Callithrix jacchus: one gene and its partners. The protein of the gene in region 1 interacts with the protein of each later gene in a biochemical or structural test. Links are inferred from orthologs where the notes say so. Each region holds a gene or a part of one and is shown in the gene's direction. Other genes may lie near its edges. The genes, in order: ERBB3, SH2D1A and TXK.

Region 1 (3,750 bases):
AGCCTGGACTTGGAAGGCACCTGGGACGGTGTGAGCCTATCTGGGTCCCCAGAAGAGCGGCGGGAACTGCGGCCGCTCGGACGGCGCCGCCGCCAGACTCGTGTGGAAGGGGAGGCAGCTGTTCTCCCAGGCGGCCGTGGGGGGCAGCAGAGGGGACGGCGACAGGTGCGGGAGCCCCTCCCGGGGTAGAAGTGGAAAGGCGGGCTCCGGGGTCTGTTCCCAGGCTGGAAACCGCCCCCGCCCCCCATCCAAATCCCCGGGAGAGGCCGGGCCGGCGCCGGGTCTGGAGGAGGAAGCGGCCGGAGACAGTGCAATTTCACGCAGCCTCTGTGGCTCGGGTTCCTGGGCTGGGTGGATGAGTTATGGGGTTTCGAGTCTGGGAGAAACTGAGGTGGCCCAGACTTGAGGCAAAAAACACCCTCCCCCTCAAAAACACACAGAGAGAAATATTCACATTCAGAGAGAAAATCCACCAAGTGAACCAACCGGCTAGGGGAGTTGAGTGATTTGCTTAATGGGCGAGGCCAACTTTCAGGGGGCAGGGCTTCGGAGCGCTTTCCCCACCCTCATTCATTACCCTTCCCTGGATCTGGGGGCATTTTGGAATCTCGACCTCCCCTTGGCCCAGCTCCCGTAGAAAAATTAGGGCGAGCCCCATCCTCGATCTGCTCCGCCAAGTTGCGGGGCCGCAGGGCGTGGCGCGGCGCGCTCTGGGCGGGCGGTCAGAGGCTCCGCAATCCCTACTCCAGCCTCGCGCGGGAGGGGGCGCGGCCGTGACTCACCCCCTTCCCTCTGCGTTCCTCCCTCCTCTCTCTCTCTCACACACACACACACACACCCCTCCCCTGCCATCCCGCCCCTGACTCCGACTCCGGCTCCGGCTCCGATTGCAATTCGTAAACTCCGCCGCTGCCGCCGCCGCAGCCGCAGCCGCCACCAGTTCGCTGGCGGCTCAGGTGACTCTCGCCTCGATGTCCTAGTCTCGGGACCCCCGGGCCGGACTGGGCTGGGCTCCCTTCACCCTCCGCCGCAGTCATGAGGGCGAACGGCGCTCTGCAGGTGCTGGGCTTGCTTTTCAGCCTGACCCGGGGCTCAGAGGTGGGCAACTCTCAGGCAGGTAAGCGGCGCGGGAACACCGGCGGGCTCCGCACCTGGGAGCCCGAACCCAGTGCGCGCAGTCTCCGGGGGCAGGAGCAGGGTCCCAGGCGGCGCGGGGTGTGGGTGCTGCCCCGGGTCCGCCGGGACCACCTGGGAATGGGGCGGTCGGGCTCGGGTTATCGGCGTGGTCCGGCCGAGGGCGGCATTCCTGGACCCTCAAGCCCCGCTTCCCCAGAGCGTCGCCGACCCTTTAATTGGTCTCCCCAGAAGATGCTGAGGCTGAAACAGTAGTTCACACTTCTAAGGGGCCCTGCAGGGAGCGGATCGGAGACCTTTATTCTGTAAACAGGAGGTGCTTGGAGGTGGGGACCTTGGCGGAAGGGTCTCGGTTTGCTCTCCAGCCTCCTACCCCCTACCTCGCACCGATTTCAGCCACCCCTAGTTTCGTTGTTTTGCCGACAGGGCGGAGCTACACAAGGTTGGAGGGGGTTGTTATTCTCTGGTGTTGGAAAAACAGGAGCGGCACCTCCTCTTCCGTGAGCGAGCCTGCCCTGGGGAGGTCTGAGATTAACCAGAGGGCCAAGTTCAGGTGACATCAGGCGGGAGGCCCAGCAGAGGCTGGCGCCCGCTTTCCTCAAAATAGTAGAGCTTGAGCAACGTCTCTTTGTCGAGACCTAGGTCAACGCAACTCATATTTACTGAGCATCTACTATGTACCAGGCCCTGGGCCAGGAGCTGTAGGGGCGAGGATGCCCAGCCTCTTGTCTTTTCTCTCCCCAACCTGAGGATCAAGAGGGCACCTCTGCTACTTTTTAAGCCTCCTACCTTGGGGAGTCTATCCTGGGCCCAGCTTGTGTGCCCCCGTCCCCATTTTGTTTATTGTCTGACACTGTCTCTAGGACCCTAGACAGACCCCTGGATTGCTCTTCTCTAGTCCTCCCCCGACTCCCATGCTATCTGAGCCCACTCCTTTGGGGTGTCTCTGGGACCCTGGACACCTGAGGATTGAAGTCCCGTGGCTCTCCTCCCCTCCCTCCAGATCCCAGCTTGGGGTTTGGCACAGCCAGGGCCCCTTCCCCAGTGTGGGAGTGGAAGAAACCACCTGTGCTTCCCCCACAGTTGCTGGGCCTAAATTTAGAGTCTGGGATTTTGAGATGTGAACACTCCCAGCTGGTGGAGGGGGGTGGTCTGGGGACTGGCGTGGGAGGGAGCAGTGGAGTGACTGTATAACTGTCCCATCCAGACCCTGTAATCTTCACCCAGAAACCCAGGAGTACTAGATTCTGGCCACCCTCCCTGGGGAGGCAGGAGGCAGGCATGGTTGGGTCTCTTTACCCTTTATCTGGGTCCTGCAGCCTCTGGGCATCCGGCCCTGTCCCAGTCCTTCTATAGCCCCTTTGTCCTGGCTGTGATGGGGGTGGGGGATGTTGGAGGGGAGGCCTCTGCATGAGGAGGGGCTGGAGATTCTGGCTCTGTCCCACCCCCAGTGCTCTCTACCAAAGGAGGGCCTGTGACACTGCCCCTCCCTATGCTCCCAGTCCCTGGGTACCACAGGGATTTTTATGATTCCCTCCCCTGCCCTGCTCCCCAGCTTGCCTGGCTTCTCCCCAGAGATGTTGTTTGTGCTCCCTTATTGCCCAGGCCCTTTGCCCTCTGTCTGTGTAACATGGACTTTACCCTTAAGGTAGCGGGGAACTGGGCTACCTCTTAACACTGTAGCCTTCCAAGCACAGACACAAAATCTGCACAAACACTTACGGGCACGTGGGATAGATAGGGCCACCTGAAATACTTCCTGCAAGGAAACCCAACTAACTCTAGGTTTCTGGGCCAGCAGGACTAATGTGTACATGTTCGTGTGTGTGTTGTGTGCGTATGTGTGTGCCCGCATTACTACTTCCTTGTGCAGAAAGCTTGGCTCCTCCTTATCTGGGGAGAAGGGTTGGCACCATAACTTGGGAAAGGGGTGTCCTGCCAGGAAGGGGGTTGGGGTGGGGCTGTCCAGAAATGACTAACTTTCCCAGTCTCTTTCATTTCAACCCAAGGACCAAGGAGTTCCCCGCTCCTCTGGAACTAGCTCTCTTTGGTGGAACTAGCCAACCTTCATGGGGAGTGATAAGGAGGTCAAGAGGTCAGACTAGGGGTGTATGTTACAGGAGGGATTGGGGCCTCACCAGTCTCCCTCCCTCCATTCCCACTGAGCTACCACCGCCTCACGGAAGGGTGGCTGGAACAGGTGGTATCTGCCCCCTACTCCCCACCACACACACATGGTCTTTCACTGAACCAGAAGAAAGAGACTGGGGTAGGGCTTCAGAATCCAGGATTTCCCATAGCCCATTGTCCACCACATTTGCAAAGAAGAGTGAACTCCCAAGGCTGACACGGCTCACGTGCCTCTAGTCTAGGCTCTCGCTTAGTGGGGGCTTGAGCGTACTGCCTTGGTGAAAGCCTTTTTCATGAATCTCTTCTAACAATGAAATTGGGTGGAGGCTCAGTGTGGGACATCTGCTACTGTTTCTCTCCAGGCTTCTCTCTATTTGCTGAAAAATACTCTAGGGCTGGAAAGTGATGCCGAGGTTGCTAGAGTGTGTTGGGATGGGGGAGAGAGTGAGAAGGAAAGCCTGAGTTTAGGAAGGGGGGGAGGCAACC
Region 2 (3,750 bases), on another chromosome or scaffold:
TCCATTGGTAAGACATGTGAGGAATTAAGTATTGCTCTCCCTATTGAGCTCCCAGCATTGCCATATTCTCAAAGAACTACACGCTGAAGTTGCAGAAAGCATATAATAGATCACATAGCTTCAGTTATTTTAATTCCAATTTTACAAGTACTTTGCATAATCTAAAGGTACATGTATAAGACCATTCAGCTTCAGCAATAAATTCTTACTCTAGTGAAAATGCAAGAAGTTTTGGGGAAATATTACCTAGCACATTTTGAAATAGAAGCAATGCTTTATTTCAGAGAAGAAAATGGAGGTTGAAAGGTTTTAAAATATTAAAGACAGTTTAGCATCAATCGAAGAAATAACATTGTTTAGAAACAACAGACAATAAAAGTTACAACAAAATTATCAACGCTTGCAAATGATTTAAAACAGATTTTTTGGACAAAATGCTGAAAGGTGGGCCTTATACACCAAAGGGCACATACAAATTTGCATTAAGACAAATCACCAGTTAAATGTTACATTGTCTCATCTAAAGCCCATCAAATACTTAAATCTGGAACATCTTTGGATGTGCATTGTGACTTTTGTATCTCAACTAGCACTTTGGGACCTTGGACAAGGTGTTAGGAAAGAAATCAATATTGGTCAGGACCAAGACTTCTCAAGATGACTGCATGAGGTAGAAGGAAGAAGGAGAAAAAGAACTTGCCCAAAGTTCACTGTTCATCTGCTATGTCTGATTCTGTAGGAGTCTTCATGGCCGTGTTCAGTAATGATTGCATAATGACAGTACTAATAAAACTATTAGTGTTTTGTTCTCAGAGCTTTTGGTCCTTTCATTCTGTCAGTATGTTTCTGCCCTACATGATGGGTCCACATACCGACAGAGACATGTATAACTTGCCTCTATCATCAACTCCTTACCGGCTGGTTGAGCTAAGTTATTCCTTGTGGCCTCTGAGTAATCTGCAAGAACAGAAGCATTACTAAGCATCCCTATCTGCGTGCAAGGGTGTGTGTTGGCAGTACAGCTCAAATCTTGCAAAATCCTTCTTCTAATTTTCCTCCCCTCTGTAAGAACCCTGTGTTGGGGGGCAGGAGATGGAAGCCCTTGGCAAGCTCGATTAAACCAAGCTACTAAATTGCTGAGCTGGTTTTAATTGAAGTGTGAGAAGGAGGTTTAAGGCAAGTAGACAACATCCTGTTGTTTGGGTGCCTCTCTCTTTTTTGCACATCTGGCTGAACTGGGAGTCAGGTGGTTGATCTGTGCCTGGCTGCAGTAGCAGCGGCATCTCCCTTGTACAATCCTCCTCCTCGGCCTGCCCGAGAGTCCACCAGGCCATGGATGCAGTGGCTGTGTATCACGGGAAAATCAGCAGGGAGACCGGCGAGAAGCTCCTGCTCGCCACTGGGCTGGATGGCAGCTATTTGCTGAGGGACAGCGAGAGCGTGCCAGGCGTGTACTGCCTGTGTGTGCTGTGAGTATTCTGTGGCAGGCAGGGGCCTGCTGAGCATGTGGATGGTGGGCACTGGCAGCTGAGGCCAGGGCAGAGGCTGAGGCGGGCAAGGGTGCTGGCGTTAGCAGCTTGCTGAGGCCTTCTTCATGACCCACCCTCAAGTCTAGTCCAGGGCCGTGAGGGAACACACTTTCGCCTGAGTCCCTCGCTGGGGATTTCATTCCCTGGGCCTCCTGCTCTCCAGAAGGCCCTCACCAGGGGCTTTTGGGGCAGCTGCAGAGAATGCCCTTTAGGGTGGTGAAATATGGTCTAAAGTTTACCTTTGCTCCAAGAAAGACCCAGGCTCCCAACTTCCATTTTAACTCCTATCGGGTGGCTCCGTACTCTAGCTCTCTTTAAATGACTTTTGAAGTGTCATCCCAAAGAAAGAGCATGACATTCAGAGAGAGGAGGCAGATTAAGAAACAGTCAATTACTTTAAGAATGCAATGCCAGTTAGGTCAAGATGCTGAGAGAGGAGGGGGATGTGTGAAAGTAAAATCATCTCTCTGGATCTGCTGATGTAGCATTCTTTAGAAAGGTAGTGTCTGTGAGGGGTGGGGCAGGGGATTTCAGAAATAGGATCCTTCTTGATAAACATTAGGACTCACAGTAGTCTTAAAGGGAATGGAGGGAAAACACCCTTGTTATGATTCAGCTTTGCCCTTTGCCTAGGCATGTCTCAGTCTAAGGCTTCATTTTGAATCAAATTCACCTGTGTCGTTGCTCCAGTGCTCCAGAGTCAGGCAGATCTGAGATGTAGTCCTGCGCTAGTCAGATGTTAGTCTTGTGACCTGGGCAAATTAACCTTTCAGTCCCCCAGTTTTCTTATCCATTGAATAATACTAAAGATATATTATTATTATTATATCTCCTCTTTTCAGTTGATTTCTTTTAGGAATCATGGGGGCATTTCTAAGGAAGTACCTAGCTAGCTCAAGCATTATTGTCAGCGGAATAAAAAAATCCATGAAAACAACAACCCTGCATAGTAGGTTCTAGACAGAAACCAAATGAGGTTAAATGCTTGGTAGTAAGTTCAGCATCTGATGATACACTACAAGAGTTTGAAATACCTTATGGGTCAGTGAAGAAAGATGATCCCGATGCTGGTGTTAGAGGATTTTCACTGTATATTGGTTATTAAAAATGGTCAAGCCTTGTTTGTTGCAGCTCTCCTATCATGCTCTAAATACATTTTTCATAAAGGCTTCAAGGGAAATACGTGGAAGCTATTGATTGTCTTGGGCTTGAATCTTTATGTTTTGCTTATATCATTATTGTTTCCATGTGGAACCTAGGGAAGGGCAAAGAAAACCAGCTGGGATTCTTAGGCTCTTTTCTCATTGAAAGAAGGTGCAGTGGGCAGGTGAAAGGTACTGCTTTAGGGAAGCTGACAAAGGAGATAACATGCTCCTTAACCCAAAGGTGAAAAAGAAAGTACAAAACAAGTCTGGGCAGAGGAGGGACAACAGGGTATAGTGAGAGTCAAGATACACCTAAGGCTTCAGCCTCACTGGGCTCCTGGCCATTTCTCAAGCTCCTAAAAAATGCCCCCACTTAGGATTTCTGCACTTATTGTTCACATGTTTGTTCAACTGTCTCCTCCCTCAGAGAGGACTTGCTTGACCACTACCTAGAACAACTGCTCTCTCCCTGTCCCTGATACACTCGCTCCATCTCTACTTTTCTTCAAAGAGCTTTAAACTATCTGATAACTTGCTTACTTACCTACTTATTGCTGGACGCTCCTGCAAAAATATAATCTCCATGAGGGTAGAGACATTGTCTCCATCACCAGGAACACAGAAACACATAATAGGCACTCAGCAAATATTTTTGAATCAACACACTGTCAAGGCAAATTCTGTTCTTTACTGTAAGAAACTGAATGGACATCGATGGGTTAGGGTGTGGACTCTGGGAAAGTCACTCAAATTCTCTGGGTCTCACTTTCCATATTTATAAAACAGGAATAGTATTGTGTATCTTACCTTCTGCAAAAGATTGCCTTCAGTACAATATATAAGACAGAAGGACAACTTTAGCCTTTTGCCTGTGTAGGCCAGAACCACATAAGGAATTAACTTAGGCAGATGAGAAATTCTCAAGCATTTAACTTTTTGCCCAAAGTGAATCTTGCATAAATGCAGTTTTTATGACCCTTAGTTCTCCATGAAAACCTCCCTGTAAAGTAGCAGAAAATACTGGGCAAATTGGGAGTTCCCTTATGGTGTCTTTCAAATGGTACACTGGGGCCTCA
Region 3 (3,750 bases), on another chromosome or scaffold:
AAACTACTTATCCCGAGTCTTATCACAATCGGCCTCATTCCTTCTTATCTACCTGTTTCATTGTACTCCCATCACAAAAACATGCACAATTTTTTTTTTTAAGTTCCGGGGTACATGTGCAGGATGTGCAGGTTTGTTACATAGGTAAATGTGTGCTATGGTGGTTTGCTGCACCTATCAACCCATCACCTAGGTATGAAGCCTGGCATGCATTAGCTATTTTTCCTGATGCTCTCCCCTCATCAGCCCTCCCTGTGTCCATGCGTTTTCACGGTTTAGCTCCCACTTATAAGTGAGAACATGTGGTGTTTGGTTTTCTGTTCTCGCATTACTTTGCTGAGGATAATGGCTTCCAGCTCCAAACATGTCCCTGCAAAGGACATGAATTCATTCTTTTTTATGGCTGCATAGTATTCCAGTATATATACCCATTTTCTTCATCCAGTCTCTCATTGATGGGCATTCAGATTGATTCCATGTCTTTGCTAACCGTGCACAACTTTTAACTGACTTGTAGCTCATTCAAGGGGTCAGTCCTGGTACACTCTACCTTACTATCACTGTCAGCCTTTTCTCCTTTCTTCCTCACCTTCCCTTCTCTTCTCCTCCCATCCCATACTTCCCTTTTCACCTTGAGGAGCTATGGGAAGTACTGGGTGGTATGGAAGAGAATGAGGAGAAGATGGAGTCCCTGCCCTAATGGTCAATGTATGCTGTTGATGGAAAAACAAGATAGATAGCTCCTGGCAACATTTCCAGCTCCAAACATGTCCCTGCAAAGGACATGAATTCATTCTTTTTTATGGCTGCATAGTATTTAAAGATTCAACAATCTTTAAATATTTTTTACTAAGACTTAAAAACTGTTTTTATACAAAAGTTGAAGTAAAAATAACAGTCATCACTCAGAATGCTAAGGAACCTTAATCTAAACAGGAAGTGGGAAGGGCGGTGAGAATATCCCTGTGTCTTCATTAAAGTCGTTCCCTTCATTCGTTAACACATGGTTATGCTTTCCAATGGGATGAAGTGAAACTCCCAAGTGTGTTTTGTATTGTTGTTGTTTTTATATTTCTCAGCCATGCCCCAGTCACCTTTTAGGGTTATTACTAGATTGACTTCCCCTACATAAAGTGTCTGCTGAGTGGGAGGATGGAACATTCTCAACTCAATATTCCAGAGCCTAGAATTTAATTGTTTCTGCCACTCCCTGTGTGGCCTTGGGTAAGTCCCTTAGTGTATCTGTGCCTCCATTTCCTTTCCAGTCCAGAGAGGGCAATTTGACTTGATGATTTTAAAGGTGCCTTTTACCAAAATTTTGTGATTTCTTGAAAATGATGTTTGCGAGTCACCCACACCTTTGGGGATGAGACTAATAGCAGACACCCTCAGAGATTGGGATGTAGATTACTGAGCTTTCTTATATAGGCCATTGGTTGTCATTTATACGCTTCTGAGGTTTTCAGAACAGGAAAATAGGAGGGGTTAACTCTGCCCGTGAGAAACATCTTTGGTGAACTATGATTTCAGTTGAAAGATGTGTTTTTGTGAGTGGAGCACCGCAGAAGAACTGAAGACTTGTGTGCTCTGTGTGCTCCCCGCAGAAGGGGCTGCCATGATCCTTTCCTCTTGTAAGTAAGATGGGCTTTGTCATTTATTTTCGGGATTTGTTCTGGGCCTATTATTCTTGAATAGCAGAGGACTTTTTCTGTTTTTTGTATTTTGCTAAGGTATAGAGCTTGGGAACATTTAAAGATAATTTCCTCAGATGTTGTGACAGAGCTTACGAACCGTGGTGGTGATGTAATTCTAATAAAGATTCAGCATTGAGAATATAAATGAAAAAAACAAAACAAAAAGAGTGTCCAGAAATCTACAGATGTGCGTAGAAAGCAGTCGGTGTGATGTACTTGTTTTTAGAATGAGACTTTCGTGAACTCTGGGCTGAGGGCCTGGAGGCCAAGTTCTAGTTCTGGGTTTGCTCTAGCAATGGTGGATCAGTTGGCAACTTTATGTAAATACACACACACACACATATAAATAAATAAATATCTATATTTAATAATACGTTTAATCTATATAAATAAAACTATATTTAACAAGTTAAAACACAGCTGTGCTTATACTCTGAAATTATCTGCTTTATCACATAAACATATAGACTTAACCTTATGTTCACAGGAGCATTTATTCACAATTCTGTGTAGACATCCATCATCAAGGATCTTTCCCAAGCAATTGAAATTTAGGCAAAACTGATTCTTATCTGCAGTCAGAGCCTGAGTAAAGGCCAAAATAAAAATCAAAGTCATGAGTCTCCACGTAGTTAAGAGTATGAACATGGTCAAGGGTGAACACTGGCTTAAATGTCTCTTTCCCTCATATATAATATTACACATGAAGATGTTTTTTAAATATTTTTTATAGAATATAAGACCACTGTTAAAAATAAGTACTTATTTTAGAAGAATAAAGATTCCCTAGACACTGTTATTTGTGAAGACCCTTGGTTTGAAAGAGCTGTGGAGATGTTTATAAATCCAAAGAAATTAGAAAAAAAGAGAAAGAATTAGAATAGTCTTCTGAATTAGAAGGCAGCCATCATAACATAATTGTAATATGTGTGTTTCTTTATAAAGGTATTCATTGAGCACCTACTATATGCCATGATCCTTTATATTCATTATCTGAAATCTTCATGACAAATTAGTGAGGTGAAAATTGTTATTCTTATCTAGCCAGTGAGAAAATTGTGCCTTTGAAATTTTAAATCTTGCCCAAAACTCACATGGTTGTCAGACTCAGAAGCATGATACTTTTTTTTTTTTAAGACAGCGTCTTGCTCTGTCACCCAGGCCGGAGTGCAGGCACGATCTTGGCTCACTGCAACTTCCACCTCCTGGGTTTAAGCAGTTTTCCTGCCTCAGCCTCCCGAGTAGCTGGGACTATACGCACCATGCCTGGCTAATTTTTGTTTTTTAGTAGAGATGGGGTTTCACCATGTTGGCCAGGCTGATCTCAAACTCCTGACCTCAAATGATTTGCCTTGGCCTCCCAAAATCCTGGGATTACAGGCATGAGCCACCACACCCAGCCAAGCATGAGATTTGCCAGACTAGGGATTTAAGCTCTCTTCCTTTTGCCTTATATATATGTGTGTGTGTGTGTGTGTGTGTGTGTGTATAGATATATTTATACATCACACACACACACACACATACACACACACACACACACACACAAGGATATAAGGATTTGACTGCCCAAAAGATTAAATAAAGGACTACCTATTGGTGTGGTATTTTGAGGATTATTCTCTCTGGCGTGGAAGCTCTCTCAAAGGAAGAGAGCTTATTTTTATATATATCTAAACTTTTATATATGTGTGTGTGTGTGTGTGTGTGTGTGTGTGCGTGTATATATATACATGTATATATATGTATGTATGTATGTATATATACACACGCACACACACACACACACACACACATATTAAGCTGTAAACTGTGATCCAAAAAGGCTGGACAAAATCCAGAACTAGAACCTGGTCTCCTGGCCTTTCGCCTAGGCAACTACCTTTTTGCTCACCTTGCAACAAAATATTAAGAAACAATAAACATAAGAGGTGCTTTCAGAAGTTTATTTTGGGAGTTGCTTTGGAAGATTATTTGGTCCCATGTTCAGTTTTGGAAATACTTATTCATTTACCTCTAAGACTCAGAGGGCCTTATTGTGCAGAGAAGGAAGGAA

The links.
Region 2: the proteins of ERBB3 (region 1) and SH2D1A form a complex in vitro, tested with the Homo sapiens proteins (2 studies listed by BioGRID and IntAct, with this or other methods). The link is inferred for Callithrix jacchus from reciprocal best matches to the Homo sapiens genes ERBB3 and SH2D1A.
Region 3: the proteins of ERBB3 (region 1) and TXK form a complex in vitro, tested with the Homo sapiens proteins (2 studies listed by BioGRID and IntAct, with this or other methods). The link is inferred for Callithrix jacchus from reciprocal best matches to the Homo sapiens genes ERBB3 and TXK.

What each region holds. Positions count from the first base shown.
Region 1 is NC_133510.1:63,588,267-63,592,016, reverse strand, and holds the start of ERBB3 (receptor tyrosine-protein kinase erbB-3), read left to right. Parts: upstream 1-889; 5' UTR 890-1,035; coding exon 1,036-1,117; intron 1,118-3,750. UniProt on the Homo sapiens protein: Tyrosine-protein kinase that plays an essential role as cell surface receptor for neuregulins.
Region 2 is NC_133524.1:120,100,359-120,104,108, forward strand, and holds the start of SH2D1A (SH2 domain-containing protein 1A), read left to right. Parts: upstream 1-1,244; 5' UTR 1,245-1,332; coding exon 1,333-1,469; intron 1,470-3,750.
Region 3 is NC_133504.1:145,712,174-145,715,923, forward strand, and holds the start of TXK (tyrosine-protein kinase TXK), read left to right. Parts: upstream 1-1,528; 5' UTR 1,529-1,537; coding exon 1,538-1,631; intron 1,632-3,750. UniProt on the Homo sapiens protein: Non-receptor tyrosine kinase that plays a redundant role with ITK in regulation of the adaptive immune response. Regulates the development, function and differentiation of conventional T-cells and nonconventional NKT-cells.